Linked DNA regions of Schizosaccharomyces pombe. The gene in region 1 interacts genetically with each later gene. Each region holds a gene or a part of one and is shown on either strand. Other genes may lie near its edges. The genes, in order: ppk30, SPOM_SPCC569.04, gpd3 and ubp3.

Region 1 (6,090 bases):
CCCATTTGACCCGTGTTCTAAGCATCGAAATCTTGATGCTGCCACTAGCCCAATAGCTGCATTTTCAAGTCAGAGCGAAGCAAATTCATTACCAGCATTTTTACTTCCTAATAACTCAAAGGGTGTTGAAAAATCTGAAGAAAATGAGGACGGTGTGACGGACAACGATTCTTCAAACGTAAATTCATCAACAAATGAATCTCCAAACCCTACAGACATTAATGTATGCAGCAACGATGATGCGACTGACAATACGGAAAATAATTTAAAGAAAAAAGCATCTTTTATCTATCGTTTGCGCAAGCATTTGAAGCGTAATTCCATTGAAACCGAATGATTGTTGAATTTTATAATTGTTAAGTTTGGTGGATTACGCTCATTACATAGTCTAGCGAAACTTCAAATCCATTTGCGCAATGCGATGATCGCTACCCACCTGGAAGTTATGATAAATTTACAGAACAGTATCTATGTTACTATATATATATATATATATATATGTTATATTAAAAATGTTTATGGTTTAAGGCAATTTTTAATTCTTTAATTTGAATCAACAAAGTGCATAGAAAGCACAAGTTCTTTTTATTTACAAATTGGTGGCCAAAGAACAAAGTTATAATATAAAATAGTAAAAACTGACTGTTGAACCTCGGAACATGCAAGTAGCATTCGTTTAGTGGTTGATGAATATTGAATAAGACAATATAATAAACAATACTTACAACAAGTAGTTGATTAGTAGTATATAAAATCTTTTTTTTTTTTTTTGTTAAAAATAAATCATTAAGTTCATAAAGAAGTTATCAGCGGACAAAATAAAAAGAGAGTACTCCACGTCCAAAAATAGAAGACAAATATGCTTTGGTATCTAATGCAACCGAGAAATTAAGTACGATTTAAACAAATACTGAATGCTAGTGTTACTCCAAGCTTTCAGATTTGGTATGGAAAAGGTTTAGACGCTCAATGTGTGGTAAATGAATAGAACTCGAATCAGGTGTTCTATCTGTTTCTGAGTCAGATGGTGATTGATGGTGTTTATTAGCATCAGAGAGTAATTGTTTCACACGCTCTCGAATAAAGTGAGATCGCTTGATTCCCGGATGCACAGTATCTGGCGAAGATGGTTGACGTTCTAGATCATTGCTTCCTTCATGCGATTTACGTGATCTTTGTGTTTCACAAGACTTTCGATACTGATTGATAGTTTCATGTACTTGGGGAAGTTCTTCACTTTCAACTATCCATTCATTTGAAGCCTTAGGATACTCGTCGACCTCAGTGTCAGGTAAAATCGATACTAAATTCTTTTTAGTTTCACTTTTGCGTCTCCGTGACATCTTCTCCCCACCAAACTCAAACTTTTTGAATGCTTCACCGAATTTACCAGAGAGAATTTTATTAGAAGCACCGATGGGGCGCTTCAATTTAGACACCTGACGAGGACTATTAGACTCCTTTTTGGTATTGCTCTTAACTCTTTCTAAGCTGGTTGAAATTGACTGCTGTAATCTTTGTGTATGCGATACCTGAGATGTTGAACGAGCATGAGTAGCATTCAATCCTTTCAAAAACTCGATATTCGATTGAACATTATTACTATCGATGCTTGATGATGTTGTCTGCCTTGATAATATTTTGTTTCCCGTATGATTATTAAACGATATGAGATGCTCGCTCGAGGAGGAGCTAGAGTCATTGTTATCGTCAAGAAGGAGTTGGGGACGTGCTTCTCTATCAGCCAGTATAGCTATGTTATCCTTGTTTTTCGATACAACATCTTTATTTGCAACCTCACTAGATTGGTCTTTCTTTAAACCTGATTTTGCGCTAGGAACAGCAGGTGTAAAAGGCTCTTTTCTAATATCCAGTCCAGCCATCTTAGAGGAAGAAACTTCTATTGGCGGAAGTACTCTTGGTCCTCGTACAAACTCCTTGTTAGATTTTTCATTTAAAACGCTATGATTCATTCGATTCGGACGTGATGGTAGAGGTGCATATCCCCCAGTTAAAGGCTTATTTATTTTCAATTTGCTATTATCTGTGTCATTTGTAGACTTCTGTTTTGTCGAAACATTTTGAACTGAAGGAATATCCATTGACAAGTTTTGCTTAGATCCCACAGACGAACTGAATTCGGATGGTTTAGGAGATGGTTTAGGTAAAAACCGATTCTCTAAATCTAGGAGGGCTTCAGGTTTATTCTGTAATAAATCAGTCTGTTTGTTCGCAGAAATCTTTTCAAAAGGCTTGAAAGCTAGAGGCCCACTGTTGCGAAGTGGTTTACTAACCTCAATTTTGTCAGTAATTTTATCAATTTCTTCCACGCTAGGATACCGACTAAGAACATCAATTTCAGATGCCCCGGTTTTAGCAGTTTTCACAGATGTGTCGGGTAAATGAGGAACTTTTATAATATGAGATGTGCTATCAGCCCTTCGTAAAGAAGGAGAACGGGGCGTCTGAATTGTTGCAGAGTAGCTTTTTGTTGCAGGGATTGGAGATTTTGGTTGCAACCGCGCCATCACATCATTGTTAGCAGAAGAAATAGGACTTAACTGATTTGAAAGGATGTTAGAAACAGAAGGAGATTTTGACTTTAAAGATGGGCGATTCACCGGGGGTACATTTGAAGAAGTCGTTTGCACAGTTGGAATAGGAGGAAGAGACGTATGTGCTGGACGAGAACTCAGCGGAGTAAGGCTTCCTGAAGGAGTTCGCTGAAGAGGAGCTCTTGGAGGATTGTAAGTTGAGGCATTGACCCCACCATATACATCAGGAAGTTTCAGAGGTGTACCTTGCATTTCCATAATTTCTTTCAAAGTTTGGTAAATATTTGGACGATGGGAAGGTTGTTCTTGAAGGCATGTGGCTATGAAACGCTTCATCCTATCACTATATCGTGGAAAGGGTGGAAAAGAGAAAGAAGCCTTAAGTATTGCACTATTACCAACCTGTTCAAAAGGTGTTGTATAATAGCATAGCTTATATGCAAGAACACCAATAGCCCATATATCACTTTTTTCGTCTATTCCTTGCCTTCTATTAATATCAATCATTTCAGGAGCTCGGTACTGGGGTGTAGTATAAGCAGCAATATTTTGCTCTAAAAACATTATTGTGTCGGGCGTTGTAGCTGGGGCCAATGGTTCACATGCACTTCCAAAATCACAAAGCTTGTAAGAATTCGGAGCCACCAACAAAACATTTTCAATTTTTAAATCTCTATGGATTAAAGGGGGATCTAAGTAGTGCATAGCGGCTACAGCATCACAAACGTCTGCTAGAATTTTTAATATTTCGCCTTCAGTTAACCGATGTTGCAACCGAGTATTCATAAAGTCAATCAGACCACCACCAGCACAAAACTCCATAAGCAAGTAGACTTCATAACGATTTTCTGATTTGGAATAAAGTGCACTTGAATCGATATAATTAACTATATGACGATGACCTTTTAGCCGCTTCATCGTCTCAATTTCTCCATGAACAAGTTGTAAAGCAGTTTTATCAGGGACATATATACGTTTTAAAACAAAGGGTTTCTCATTTTCCAATAAAGCAAGATAAACATGAGAAAATCCGCCTTCACTGAGGTAGCGCTGGATAATGACACTGTGTGAGCCAACTTGAATTTTAGTACCAGCTGGAATCTTACTAAACAAATCAGTCCTTACCGGAGCTGGAGATTTCGGAACTGAGTAGGCTTTATTAGAAGTTCCATTGTTTGATAATTTGACTTGGCCTACGGTAGCCGGTGCTTTCGAGTAGACTTCTGTCATATGCAATTAGAACAATAATGGAATTCCAAACAAACAATTAGGAACCTTAATTGATGCAATTAAAAATGAGAAATGAAAGGTAATTTTGTACAAAAGAAGAATATACAAATTGAAGCAACCGGTTTTCTATTAAATGAAATTTCACAAAGTACGTTTGGTTACTCTTCACAACGTTGGGTAATTAAAACCTTTATAGCTTAACTAGCGATTAATACTTTCAATTAATTGCAAAGGAGAAAGAACAAAACTCACAATGGAAGAGTAAGCCCCAACTTGACAAGTGCGTTTTGGGTCTGTCAGTAAGGGAGGCAACGGAGATAGCGACTTAACCGTGAGGTCTTGTTATGGTAAATATCAGCTTGATGCGGAAACGGTTCGGATAACGAGTAAGCGAAATGACACTAAATCGGTTCATGAAAATCTAACATACCGTGTATCGCAACTTACCGATCAATCCGTAAAACATATTATAATGAAAACATAATAGCATCAAATAGCAATTTATAAAAGTAAATTCATCAATTAAAAGTAGTTGTTTGTTAACATTAAGTTTTTAGTGGTATTACTATCATATTCAAATTTTGATTCAACATTTTTTAACTGTAAAAGTGATAGGGAACATTACGTTTTCTATACAAGTAGTATATACTTTATGTGTTTAAAGGTTAATATTTCAAGAGTTTTTTTGTTTTTACTTTTTAAACATAAAAATAAGAAAAACATTCTCACTCATTTTTGGTTTATAATAAAAAGTCTTTAAGAGTTTGCTAGACTTCCTGTGTTCAGATGCGGAATTGCAAATATTGACGTCCTCACTACATCTTTAGCTGCAATACAAAGAGTTAACCTTATGCATACTATTGGTGCCCATAGCATCCATACATTTTTTTACCGAATATGTAAACTTTTTTTTTTTGTTTTCTACTAAACAACTCTGCGTTCAAAACGATAATAGACTGCAACTATTCATTAACCCTACTCTTCTTTAGAAACACTCTTTTTCTTGTATTCACTTGTAATATTCGTAACACATCTTTCATGCGCAAAAGCTTAGCAGACGCTGGTAATTTGGACAATTGGTAAACTTCGTCGAATCACCAATTATCAGAAGCATCATTATCGTACTTGATTATTTTTATTATTTGTCAATCTGTGTAGGGTGCACAATAAGAATAATATTTACCGAAAACCATCACTATCCTTCAAAGAACGCAATTGCAATGTTCCGTTTTTAGGAACTTTAAACGGTGTTAAATCTTGTTTAAAGCGGGAATTAATTCATTTTTTAGAATACGAGAAATTTCATAAGAATTTTATTTGTTCTATACTTAATAAGCAAAATGATAAGCAAATTGATAATAATGCAAAGTAACGATGCTTAGCGCGATGCGAGAATACGTTGTTTGCTTTCTTTGAACTAATCATTCCAAGGTTGCAAAATACATAGACATAACATATGACTAGTGGGTCATAACATTTTTACAATTAAGTACACAGTATAAATGTATAAGCATGTTCATTTCAATATTTTTTGTCAAATTGCATTATAAAATTTGCAACTACTCATATAAGTAAATGTGTGGGTTAGGGTTTGCCAGCTTTTTTCACGTTTTGATGGCTTCTCAAATCGCATAAGTACCACCAGCCTCCCAGCTGACGATGGCTTTTGCAGCCATTGAAAGCGGCAAATTAGTAAACATTAAAAGAATTATGCTCTATTATTTCCACGGTTGAATTCAATAAGGGTTTTTTAGTATAGTGATAAAAAATTTGGTTACCGACGTGTTTATTGACAGGTACTACGCTCATCATCAGTCTACAGCTAGCTGTAAACAAACCTTTATTTTCAATTATAGAGATCCTGGTTTTTTATTTGAATCCTTCGTGTTATTATTATTATTTTTAAGCACTGTTTTCTTTTTTGTTTGTTTGTTAATTTTATATTTGGGAGGTGTAATTTGAGCCTCATATTAAGTGAGTAATTAAACTGATCTTTTGGGAAAAGCTTCTTTTTCTTTAATTTCACATATGACAACACGCCTCGACCGGTTGGTTGTATTGCTTGATAGCGGCTCTACTTCTGTCGTTCGAGAGACAGCTGCTAAACAAATTGGAGATATACAGAAAGTTCATCCTGATGAGCTTTACAATCTATTGGGACGAGTCGTCCCATACTTGAAATCTAAAAACTGGGATACACGTGTTGCTGCTGCCAAAGCGATCGGTGGAATAGTGGAAAATGTGCCTGTATGGAATCCAAATAGGACGTCTCCGGTAAAAAAGGAGGAAACTGAAGATTTGCCTT
Region 2 (3,254 bases), on another chromosome or scaffold:
CAAACGTGAGAAAACTTTTACGCTCAATATGAATTAACCTTTTGTTATACATAAAGGTTCAAATCTCTATTCGAACTCATATTCACGATTATTGGATGGTATTGAAGTACTGTTATTGTGGAACAATGTCTCAGCTTAACAAAATTAAAAAAATAAGTAAATTATATGGATTTAAAATTGAAGAACACCTTTATAAAAAAGAAATATTAAATTTTTTTACATTATAACTGCTTAAATTTCCGGTTGAAAATAGTGTTGATCCTTTGTAGGTTTAGCAAAGGACAACTTTTATTGTTACCAACTTCTTTATTTCCTAAAAGGAATTTAGCTGATTTCACAATTTTCTGTTAAACTTTGTCTATTTGTCAAATTTGAAAATGGGAATTGTTACTACCATTAAAAAGGGCAAGCATAACCGGCCCAATATAGGTTTTTGTATTTGGACTAGACAAAAATATATAGATTATTTTTTGTTTTCTCCTGTTTTACATCTGAACCTTTTGCTATGTCTTAACAATCAAATAAATTATTTAAACATCTCCTTCGTTTGATTAAGCATTCTTAATTGACCTACCAATTGAAAGTTGAAATGAGGATGGACTTTACAAATATTCAAAGTTTTCCTATATTCGTATAACGAAGTCTCTTTGTTATTATTGTCAACATTTTCCAAATATTTTTCAGGATCATTAAGTATTCTGTTAGTGCTCGTATGCCAAGGAGTACACTTATCTTCATCCGCCTTCAATATCAATCTCAAACTATGATGCTTGGTTTTGACTTTTAAAAACTCGTCAAACATAGGAAATTGTGTGGAATCTTTTTTCTGTTTCTTTAATGAGTAAATCTCCATGCAGTACAGAATGGGCCCGAGTTTGCATCCTGGCATATAAAAAAATTATTCACGTCAATAACTCTACGATTTATCAACAATTCGTTCCCTCCCACATGAGAAACAATTTCCCATTCAAGAATTCGAAAGCAATTCTTCAAATAGTAATGAGTACGAGTGTCTGTTGTGTACAAAGGCCTTTTGGGGTAGACAGGCACTTTGACAGCGAACTTCAAGCGACTGTCAAATACAGGGCGTGAAGGAACTCCTCTCAGTAAGACTGAATATAAGTATGGAACTAGTTCTTGTATTTCAACTTTACGATTTTCACCTTTTCTGTTTTCATCACATAGATAAGAAGTAGACATTCTCAAGTCTTCAAAATACGTCCCACAAAAATCACAAGTACTATCCCTTTCTTTAACAACATCAGTAAATATCACCAAAGACTTTAATGGCTTCCTTTGAAATTGAAACCTATCAACTTTAATATATTTCTCATACACTTTTCGATTATTTTATCAAAGCCAGGTAAAACAGAATGTTCAGTTTTCTCAATCCCTTTTTTTTGAAAGGTATAAAGTCTTCTAAAGGATTATTTGTAGTACGAAGTTGACATCCACGCCGAAATTCCTTCTGACATCTGCCTGAATAAATAATGAACGAACTAAAATCCCATATAAGTGAAATTTGAATTAAATTAGTTATAAGTACTATAGTAAATAATAATGATTTCGATTGTCTTGCATATGTCAATCGGTATACACAGAATCGAGGAACACGATATAAAGAATTACGGCATGCAATTGAAATTAATGTTTGGTGTATATACTGTATAGTAGCTCTAAATTCTTTAAAAGAAGAAAAGAGATTATAATACCAAAGAGATTATCTGATGGTGTATGCATTTAGACAAGATGAGATAACTTTGAGCATGAATAATATATATTTGGCTACCTTTTCATCCAAAATGTTGTCGTTATATTTTGGGATGACAGAACATTGAGTATAATCAGTCGTGCTACACGTAAAATTCTGATTGAAAATACCTTTAAGTCTGTCAAATTTCTATTTATGATTCTATAACTGAATATTGATCAACAGAAAAGCGAATAGCTTGTTTTCATACACTTAAATATTTTATTTCTTTAAAAAGCCAGATAATCACTACAAAATTTGTACTTCAGATATATGAATTTAAACTTTGAGTAGCTATCTAATGATATGAGATAGAAACTGCTAAAACACTATGATGGACCCCAAAATATGTTTAACACCATTAATCGGTTGAACGTACTAAGAGGTAGTAGCTCAATGGTTGATTTATGCGAATATCGCATATAGGGTGGATGTCTAATTAATTTTTGCAAGGTTGAACTTTGAAAAAATTTATTTGAATTAAATTTAATACTACTAATTAAATACGATTTATTGCGCTTCTTAATTATTTCAATAGTTATAAATGAGTTCCTTATAAATTTGTTTGTATTTTTTTTAAAAAAAGAATTAAAAGTTTAGAAAACACTCTAAAAAAACTAGGCGAATCTTTATTGTGTACATCAACTTCAATTTATTTCCTATTAATTTTAACACAAACAAAACATTGTCAATCATTAATTAGGCTCGATGTTATAATTTTCATTATTGTTGCAGTACAAATAAGGAGACTGCTTGTATAAGTTGAGTAGCCTAAATGAAATTTTCTAAATTGGAAACATCTTCACAAAGTACTACCGAGTGAAATGGTGACACACTCTTACGGAAATTTTAACGATAGCTATCTATTTTTTAATTGCTCAAACACATTTTTAATCAACAACCTCATTTTTATTAGGAAGAAAATGAAAGATACAAAAGGATTTTGAGTGTAAGAAACTAAAATCTAGTAAATAATGTCCGGAAAGCAATGATTAAAGAGCATGCAAATCTAGAGACTGTTTTTTGCAATAAAAGACATATTGGTATTTATTTCCATGTTTATTTGTTTAGGGTTCTAACTGTTATGCGAAATCAAAGTCCAAGTTTTTTTTTTTGACATTATCTTGATGGACGATAGCTTGCTTAAATCGCTTATTTTCTTTTCCATGTGTTACTTAAACATAAACTTCACGTTCAATACGATGGTGAGGATTAACATCAAGTACAAGCTTATTTATACTAGTAATTCGTTTTTTGTATAAACGAAGTATGAAGAAGTACGAAAAAGGCGCGATTCAGCTCAAAAGTGAGTTTTGGGCTTCCTTTCTTTATTAACATTATGAAATCGACTTTTACCGAACGGGCATTGCAAATGTGATACGAATAAAACCGAATACCTCGTTGGTTCATGATACAGTTGAAATGATTTTGGAACCCTTATCAGTCAAGATGTAAAGGATGAGTTCGATAGATAAAATATCTCAAGGTTTTATAACAGGGGAGA
Region 3 (4,734 bases), 2.0 Mb from region 1:
AGCAGCTTTCAAACTCCCATGGTGCAGTTACTAATGGAAGTATTCCACTGAGAAATCTGAGAAGCAATCTTATTATTAGTTCGTAAGGAATTCAAATGTTTGGCACCAAAGCAGATATTGTTACTATATGAATTGATAATTTAAATAACAATCTCATGCTTAAACACACTTTCAAGCTATTGGAACATGAGACACAAGTATAAACAGTTCCATAGATGAGCCTCGCAATCGAGCGATTGTTTCTCGCTTAGATATAACTGTATTTTTTATGAGGGTACATGTGACTAGCAATGCGGTATCAAAAAACCAAAGGACAAAATACAAAAAACAGGATTAGCTGTTATCCAGAAAAGAATCAAATGCAAGCATGAAATTTTTTGAATAATTTTCTGAAGCACAAACAGCTCTAAGTATCAAACATTAAGAGTTGCGAGAACCGCCTAAATGGAACACTCGCTTTCATCATCATACTTGATGGTCTGAGATTGATCTGGAAAGTGGAGTGAACGAACACTAAGAATGAAAATGCTAAATTTAAATTGCTATCTATTAATATATAATTTTTCTTATCGTTTGACTTACACTTCCATTCTAGAAACTTGCAAATAGGGGCAGTAAAGATAGGCAGCAGAGGCCCTCAAAAGGACTGAAAAATTATTTACTTCACCCAAAAAAGCGTGGGCCAAGTTTATGGAAACATCTTAGCGAATATCTATCATCAAGACGAAAACAATTATCTCAAATGCAAACGGTAATAGAATGCTAACAAGCAACTATGATAACTATATAATGCTTTATAAATCAGTCTACCTTTTTTACCTCCAATAAACTACCACATTTCAAATCAAAATTTTCATACACCACATACTTTACGGATTTTTTACACATTAAAAACAAGTGAAGAAAAAACAATTCATTTAAAATTATATCTTAATCTATTTCGTAGAAAGGTCGTCAGCTATAGAGATCGCCCTAGGAGCGCAATCAAAATGATAACGTGGAATAAAAGAGGAAAATCTCATACATGTCTATCATTATCGTAGCAAACCCCAGAAAAGGAAAAGGGGGAAAACAAGCATAAGAATAAAAAACCAAAAGTTCGCACATATGTAAGACCCCCCAAAACCGAACGCATGTTCAGTTGAATAGCTTGGAGTTTAACAACGGCTGATTAGAGAGATATAGATTGACGACGGAATAAATCGAAAGAAGCAATCTAATCCTTGGAAGCAGTGTAGGCAACCAAGTCAACAACACGGTGGGAGTAACCCCATTCGTTATCGTACCAAGAGACGAGCTTGACGAATTGAGGAGAAAGTTGGATACCGGCAGAGGCATCGAAGATGGAGGAGTGGTTGTCACCACAGAAGTCGGTGGAGACAACAGAGTCCTCGGTGTAACCCAACACACCCTTCATGGGACCCTCAGAGGCAGCCTTGATAGCAGCCTTGATGTCCTCGTAGTTGGTAGGCTTGGCCAACTTGACGGTCAAGTCAACAACGGAAACATCGGGGGTAGGGACACGGAAAGCCATACCGGTAAGCTTACCGTTAAGAGCGGGAATAACCTTACCGACGGCCTTGGCGGCACCAGTGGAGGAGGGGATGATGTTGGCGCTGGCGCCACGACCACCACGCCAGTCCTTCTTAGAGGGACCGTCAACGGTCTTTTGGGTGGCAGTGGTAGCGTGAACAGTGGTCATGAGACCCTCTTCAATACCGAAGGTGTCGTTGATGACCTTGGCAAGGGGAGCCAAACAGTTGGTGGTGCAAGAGGCGTTGGAGATAACCTTCTCGGAGGGGTTGAACTTCTCCAAGTTAACACCGACGACGAACATGGGAGCATCCTTGGAAGGAGCAGAGATGATGACACGCTTGGCACCACCCTTCAAGTGAGCAGAGGCAGTCTCCTTGGTAGTGAAGACACCAGTGGACTCAATAACGTACTCAGCACCAGAGGCAGACCACTTGATGTTGGCGGGGTCACGCTCGTTGTGGACATCGATGGAGTGACCGTCGATGACAAGCTTGCCACCCTTGGTCTCAACGGAGCCCTCAAAGCGACCGTGGGTAGAGTCGTACTTGAACATATATGCCATGTAGTCAAGATCGATGAAAGGATCGTTGACAGCGACAACTTGGATCTTGCCAGTGAGGATGGCGTTACGGAGGACGATACGGCCAATACGACCGAAACCGTTGATACCAACTTTAGGAATTGCCATTGTTATCTGAAAAGAGTTAGTAAGAAGAAGAGATCAAAGAGGAGAGAAAAAGGCAAAAAGAAGCGAGAGAGGGAAGAAAGCGAAGAGAAGAAGAAGAAGAAACGATGAGCGTCATTAAAAGAAAAGATATCATTATTGAGAGAAGAATAGAAAAGAAAGTATACTAAAAACAGCAGCTTTGTCGCTTTCGGCAAGTCTATTTTAATTTCTGACCAAACTGCCGTCAAGCGAAAAATAAAGCCTTCTTTACCGAAAGAAACGGAAACTAACGAATCTTATCACGACTTCGTTGTACAATTTCACCATACTGGATATGACATGTTTTCGTCATGTCAAGTAAAATCAGAGAGCCTCTTCTCTTGGCAATCTCACTGACCATTTTCATTTCAATTCATCGCTCAAAATCCATCTTTTTCAACTAAAAGAGAATATCAAAAGAAAATATCCCTTCCTTTTCCTCAATCTATTTTTCCCTCTTGGCAGGTGTTTGACACATGTCACATGTCTCACCAAGCCAATGCTTTGCCAATGCCACAGCGCATCACATACCTAATTAATTCGATTGCTATTTCTCAAAACCAAACAAGTACTATTGCTGATTTCTTGATACTACAAAGAAGCAGACTGGCCTACCACTCCTATTTATATTGTATGTGTTTACGCTAGAGTTGTCATGCCAACGACGGTATCGTAAGCGGCGATTTCCGTGTTCGGTACTTGGCAGATCGGATAATGAAATTAGCGGCCTTCTAGATAACTTCCCATGCGAATATTTTTGGCTCATAATCATACAACAATCGACGCATTGCGTTGACCTTTCCCTCGCCTCGCTTGACAGGAACGAGAGAGGCAAGGATGGAATGGCATGGAATGGATGAGTTGGGATGGCGGTGGAAAAGAAAAAGAAATGTAAACAATGAGTGTAGAGGAAAGAAGAAGAGAAGAGAATAGCATAGCATAGCATAGCATAGTAATCAAGAGGACAAGTGGGAGAAATGAGACAAGTGGTAAATCCAAGTCAACTGTGAAATTTCGAATGCAATTGGATTCAATCCATTTCTATTGATTCTATAAAAATGTTCATTTACTTCACTATTCATCGACTCACTTCACTAATAGTCATCGAGTATATCTGCTGTGTGTGTCAGTCTCGTCCCTTCCATCATCCATCAATCCGCCCTTGGAATGGCGTTTCCAATGCCTAGATGGAATGGAATGTTTAGAGGGTTGGCCCAGTTAGCTGTTGTTAGGCTGACGATTCTTGCATTGAATTGCATGATTTTGTTTGACCGTGCTAACAGGGCTATTAGCAAGGCTCATGGCATCCCAGCGGCTCCTCGGGAATAACGAGGTGCAAAGTCTCGTTAACATCATCTGTTTGTGAGGGAGGATGGAGGAGGGTAGGAGGGTAGGAGGGTAGCGAAAAGGTAGGAAGGGAGCGGGTTAGACGTGGAACATGAAGGAGAAGACATAGAATAACAAGGAGAAGATATAGAACAATTGTTTACAGTGCACAGTTTGGAAAAGAGATTCAGTTGGAAAAGGAAAATCGTTGATGTTGAGATTGTTATTGTATAAAGTTTTTGCTTTCTATTGACATCTCTCATTTACCTACTACCACTTTCCACTCCTTTTTCTCTCTCTCTCTCCCCCCCTACTTTATCGAGTTCAACAATACTCTGCTGTCCGACTATACTGAACTACGACGCTTTGCACTATGTTCCTCTGCGCTTGACTGCCCAGGACGTTCCTTCGGTTAATCGTAAGCTGTTTCTTCGGAAAAAATTGATCGGCAGTTGGGACAATTTGAGTTTCCGGGGCGGTTACAAGGTCTTGTGATGGTTGGCGGATTCGGATTGAAAGAACCCTAATTCACCTTCTAGAGAAACCTTATGTGAATGAGCTGACGAATCAACCATCGACGAGGATCCTTTCAAGGTCCGGGATGCGCTCATCCTCAAGTCCATACTGGTTCCGAGAGTTTCTATTGCGTCACTTTTTATGTAGGCGAAATTAATTTTGGCGGGCCACCGTCCGATAAGAAAGGAAAAGGAACCGAAGGAAGCAGGAGGAAGCAGCTGAAACAGCGCGAGACTCACATACAGAGAGTGAGGAATAACACAGTAATGCAACGTAAAAACAAAGCCATCAAAAAAGAACTTTGCTCTATGGAAACACACTGTAAGCAATGGAAACCCAGAATTGTTGTCTTCATAAAGGTCAATGAGTAACACAAAAAAATATGAGTTTTTAATCAATTGACTACTTCAATCCATTCTTTCTTCATTCAATTCCCATTCCCATTCCCTTCAAACGGCCGAACTAGTTTCTTCCTTGTCCTCCATAACGAGCAGTGTCAACAACGTGCACTATCCTAACGTAGAGTGTCATTCTTTCCAAAACATTTTAGCACATTGCGTTACCTCATGCATCACAGTAATGGGGTCCAGCTCGCTTGCTAATTTACCCATTCTCCTTGCAATCCACCCCGCACTACACTATGCAACATA
Region 4 (4,662 bases), 1.1 Mb from region 1:
AAGAAATAATACAAGCTTTTGTATCTCCAAAAGAGATCTGTTAAAAAAAAGAGTTAGCAAAGAAAGTATTTTTCGAAAAGTTCAGCACATACTCAAATAACGTGTAACATAAACAAGCAGAAACAAAAGATGGGATTTGAGAGATAGTCCTGAACAGGTTTTCGATTTTTTCATTCGGTGCAAAAGCAAGAAAATAGCAGCCAAATGGGCCATATCACCTAATGATTAGCTTTACTTTGACGAAATTCATCATACCCAGTGCACTGAAAAATGTCATGATTAATTAATAAAAGTAAGGAGTGCCTATTTCAACGCGCCAGGTATTAGGAAAAAGAATTTGGTAGTGGTGTTGACAATAGGCTTAACTGCGCAGAGATATAATTGGGGTATGCAAGTGGGGGCCAAATGTTTAATAAATGCAACAAAAAAACTGTAATTTATATTCGTACTTTAGAATGCGCTGAATCAAGATTCTCAAACGATCAAATCTTTTTATTTAAAACAAGGAGTTTAGCTTGCATGAAAATTATAGAAATGGGCTTTAAAGTGACAAACTTGATGCCATAGTACTTCAAATATTACATTATGAAGCTGGACTTGACCTACTACTAATAGGACAGCAAAATAAAAACCACTTGACCCTACTTTTGGTACTGTTTTAAAATATATACTGCATTAAAGCTGCAATGAAAATTCACTTGTATATTCGGAGTAAGTTCCTAGAAAGGTTGTATTATAAAGCCGATTAGTTTAAAGGGATTGAGAGGGAACGTAATCTTAAATAGCTAAAGTTCATAAAATAAAAAATAATAAAAAATTGCTGAACCTTTTTGAGAAAATTATGTAAAAAAGATATGATAAAATTTTCTAACCGACGTTTTAAACAAAAAGAATTATAAAAAAGTGTAGTCCCCAGTTTTAGCTCAAATCCTTGAGTTGTTTATTGAAGAATACACAAAACAATTAAGGTTTTTATTGGTTAATTTTTTTTGGGAGGAAGGAATCCAGATGACCTAGGAGCGTCGTGTGTAAAACAGTAAGTATGCCACACGATCGCCGTGACCAAGTTTACTAAGACTCGGATCAGCGGAAAGTTCGGAGTTTTCAACATCATGAATAGGTACGCGGTGAATGTGTGTATCATCAATCCGAAACCAGCCGCTTTTATCAAGTTGCTGAACATCGACAGTATAATGACCACCAGACGCAGAAGTACCGTGATGATAAACCACTGCATTCAAATCATATTCCGGATGTATGGAACCACGAACAGAAGGGCTGAAAACGTTTTGTGGAATACTCAAGCGAGCAGGATAAGCAATAGGCTTATAATTTTTCTGTGTACCGCCAGATGCTTCGTAAAAGAATCGTTTAAGGTGAAGAATCAAGACAGGAGGAAGTGACTCTATATACATTTGCTTGGTAGCAGTAACATTTCCTTTCGACGAATGCCATTCCGGTAAAATTTCAGGGGCGGTCATATGCTCCAACGCATCGATAACTGAATGTATATCTTCTGCTTGAATGTCGAGTTGCAGAGGTTGAAACGGTTCTAACAAAACAGAATCTCTTGCACTCGGAACCCTTAAGGTAGAGCGCAGCTGACCACCAAAAATTTGGCTTATAGGAGACCTTTCAACAGTAGCAGATCTAGCAATTACTGGCTTTTTATTTTTACCAACTTCGGTCCAGCCACTAGCTTCTACAGAAGATTGATCATCAAAACTATCTAAACCAGACTTGATACCATTTGAAATTTTGATATCAGATTTTGGATTTCTTTCGTCATTTTTTAATAAATAATGTCTACGTTCACGCACGAATTCTTCATGTAATTCGTCAAGAAACAAATTCAAAAACTCCTCAGCATCCTCCTGTTCGCCGGTCTGCAACATTTCAAATCGAGGATTCCCCTTAGTAGCTGAATATACCACTTCTGGCAAAATAGAATCTCCTTGTAAATCAAATTTCTCAGAATATTCTCTAAAATCCCTAGAAAGCATTGTCAACGATTCAATAAGAGGTGTTGTACGTTCAAAATTATACGGAACCATCCGGTTAATTTGCTTAAGTAAATTATAAAATGGAACACAATACATTAGTGCCTGTAAAATAGAGTTCATAAAACATATATTTCCGGTATTTATAAAACCCCGAGGCTGTATAGGACGGGGTGCATCGAGGGATGGAGAATATGTTTCGATCAATTCACCAAGGGATGAATTGAAACTTTTTTTCTCAGACCTGTCAGACGGTACCGGAACAGAATGTGATTTTTTAACAGGAGAGTCTCCTTGAACATGCTTTTTCGCAATTGCAGACCACGATTTAGGCGATTTTTCAGACTCTTTCGTCTTTGATGTGACCAGAGGCATTTGCACCGAAACCGACCAATCTAAATTCTTAGGCGAACGCCTTTTTCTAGCCTTTCGATGAGGAAATTCATGTTCAGAGCATGAGTACCATGGTAGCTAAACGTTAGTATAATCACAATTTTAATAAAACATACCAGTGAATTGATAATAAATTGATTTCGTGACGAATCACTTTCCAAAGACGCGCTGTCCGTTGCAGAGGTCAAATCTCGCATGGAAATACGCACACTCTAGCAAGATTGAACTCTTGTTTACTAATTTGATGGTTGGCTGTCGTTCGCTTTGCTCTTCAAAAGACTGTCCAAAACTTTTTTTAATATACACTATACCTCGTTAATTCTTCGTATTCCACCAAGTGTATTATGGTGATATTCCACTGTAAACACTTGACCGCCTAACTCAAATTCCTAATTATTTTTAGTTGTTCTTTTTTATTATTAATTATTGAATGTCCATGCCCATCTTTAGTTATTTTTAGAGAATACGGTATATTTACATATCTAAGTACCACTATATGTATCTTAAACCACAAAAGTGATACGAAAAGAGAAAAGTAAATAGTAAATTTTAAAATTCGATATTCTGCTGTTGTGTGAACTATATATAGGTCTTGAATATATATTGTCACTCATTTTACGCCGCAGCAAATTCAATCGTTAACCAAGTCTTAATGTGATCATAATTGAAATGATTAATTGTCAAGGAGGTGAAGTAAGATGAACGAGTAAATTAAGTGACTTTTTTAAGTAAGCTGAGCAGTAAAGTACGTAGCAAATTTTAAAAAAGATAAATATAACAATAGTCGTGAATTTTTAATAATGTTAACTATGCTGTTGCTATGCGGTATATCTTTTTGTGTTTCAGCAATGCAGTTTGAATATCTGTTTAACGATACATAGAACTGCGGCAATTTTCTCTTGCGATCTACAATATAGCGGGATGCAGTATATTTTTAACTGACAATGTTTATAGGAAGCTATTAGTATCGATCATCGATACAGCTAGGAACTGTACCTCGTTCCTCAGTTCAACTGTAGCTCTATTAATAATATTTCTATAAGTTGCTATCAACGTTGCATCTATGTAGATAGACGGATAGTTTATCCTCGTGTATCAATAAACGGATCTTAAGTATTTAAACATATGGCATATAGTGATACGCAACATAGTATGTCATAGCGTAGTGTAGTATTGCTTGAAAAAATTTAATGTTCTTTATCTTTCGTAAAAGTTTTTAACAAAACTCAGCGATGTGAATAGTGGAGGTTGGACTGAAAGAATGCCAGTGCCAAAATTTTTCCTCAGCCCAAATAAACGTTTTTGGACTTCATCACATATTTTCCATAAAAGATGGGAAGAAAACAGAAGTCTAAGCAAGGAATTCCCCCAACTTTAGAGGAAAATCATAATTCTTCTCATAAAGTGACAGAAAATGCAAAAAAGAGAAAGCATTCAAAAGAAAAACCACAAAATTCTCGGAAACGCCAATTAGCAGAAGAAAAGAAATCTTTGTTTGAAAATTCGGATTCTGAGAATGAAAAAGATCTTATTGATGCAGACGAATTTGAAGAGGCTGAAACTTTATCAGACTTGGAACATGACGAGGAACCCCAAACATTTGCTGACGAGTTTATCGATGATGAGGCTAAAGAATGTGAAGGGGAGGAAGAAGATTCTGTTTTTGATTCGGATGAAGAGCATGAGGTTAAGCCTATGTTTAGCGATGATTCTGGAGATGAAGAGGATTTGGAACTTGCGAATATGGAAGCCATGTCTCGCAAACTTGATGAGGAAGCGGAATTAGAGGAAAAAGAAGCCGAGGAAGAATTGCATACCAACATACATCCTGAGGCTCCTACTGTTCTTCCACCTATTGATGGTTTTACCGATAGCCAACCAATATCTACTCTTCCACAGGATTTGAGCCAAATTCAATTGCGGATACAGGAAATAGTCCGTGTTTTGAATGATTTTAAAAATTTGTGTGAACCTGGACGCAATCGTTCTGAATATGTTGATCAACTCTTAAATGATATATGTGCGTATTACGGTTATTCTCGCTTTCTTGCTGAGAAGTTATTTGAATTATTTTCAGTTTCTGAGGCTGTTGAGTTTTTTGAGGCAAATGAAATGCCTCGTCCTGTCACAATTCGTACCAATACTTTAAAAACCCAGCGACGAGAATTAGCCCAAGCATTAATTAATCGTGGTGTCAATTTGGAACCAATTGGTAAATGGTCCAAAGTAGGTCTCCAAGTATTCGAATCCCAGGTTCCAATCGGTGCGA

What was found.
Region 2: mutations in ppk30 (region 1) and SPOM_SPCC569.04 together harm fitness more than expected from each alone (negative genetic interaction), as found in Schizosaccharomyces pombe (one large-scale study listed by BioGRID).
Region 3: mutations in ppk30 (region 1) and gpd3 together harm fitness more than expected from each alone (negative genetic interaction), as found in Schizosaccharomyces pombe (one large-scale study listed by BioGRID).
Region 4: mutations in ppk30 (region 1) and ubp3 together harm fitness less than expected from each alone (positive genetic interaction), as found in Schizosaccharomyces pombe (one large-scale study listed by BioGRID).

The regions. Positions count from the first base shown.
Region 1 is NC_003423.3:2,625,289-2,631,378, reverse strand, and holds ppk30 (Ark1/Prk1 family protein kinase Ppk30), read right to left. Parts: upstream 4,081-6,090; 5' UTR 3,786-4,080; coding exon 924-3,785; 3' UTR 501-923; downstream 1-500. Other genes in the region: pal1 family early clathrin mediated endocytosis factor, meiosis specific Pal2, read left to right, coding at 1-337; TATA-binding protein-associated factor Mot1, read left to right, coding at 5,814-6,090.
Region 2 is NC_003421.2:2,426,385-2,429,638, forward strand, and holds SPOM_SPCC569.04 (uncharacterized protein), read right to left. Parts: upstream 1,201-3,254; coding exon 835-1,200; 3' UTR 694-834; downstream 1-693.
Region 3 is NC_003423.3:576,221-580,954, reverse strand, and holds gpd3 (glyceraldehyde 3-phosphate dehydrogenase Gpd3), read right to left. Parts: upstream 2,839-4,734; 5' UTR 2,774-2,838; intron 2,231-2,773; 5' UTR 2,225-2,230; coding exon 1,217-2,224; 3' UTR 899-1,216; downstream 1-898.
Region 4 is NC_003423.3:3,675,641-3,680,302, reverse strand, and holds ubp3 (ubiquitin hydrolase Ubp3), read right to left. Parts: upstream 2,655-4,662; 5' UTR 2,591-2,654; coding exon 2,510-2,590; intron 2,472-2,509; coding exon 1,014-2,471; 3' UTR 642-1,013; downstream 1-641. Other genes in the region: erd2 (HDEL receptor), read right to left, coding at 1-37, 93-218, 256-277; RNA methyltransferase Nop2, read left to right, coding at 3,726-4,662.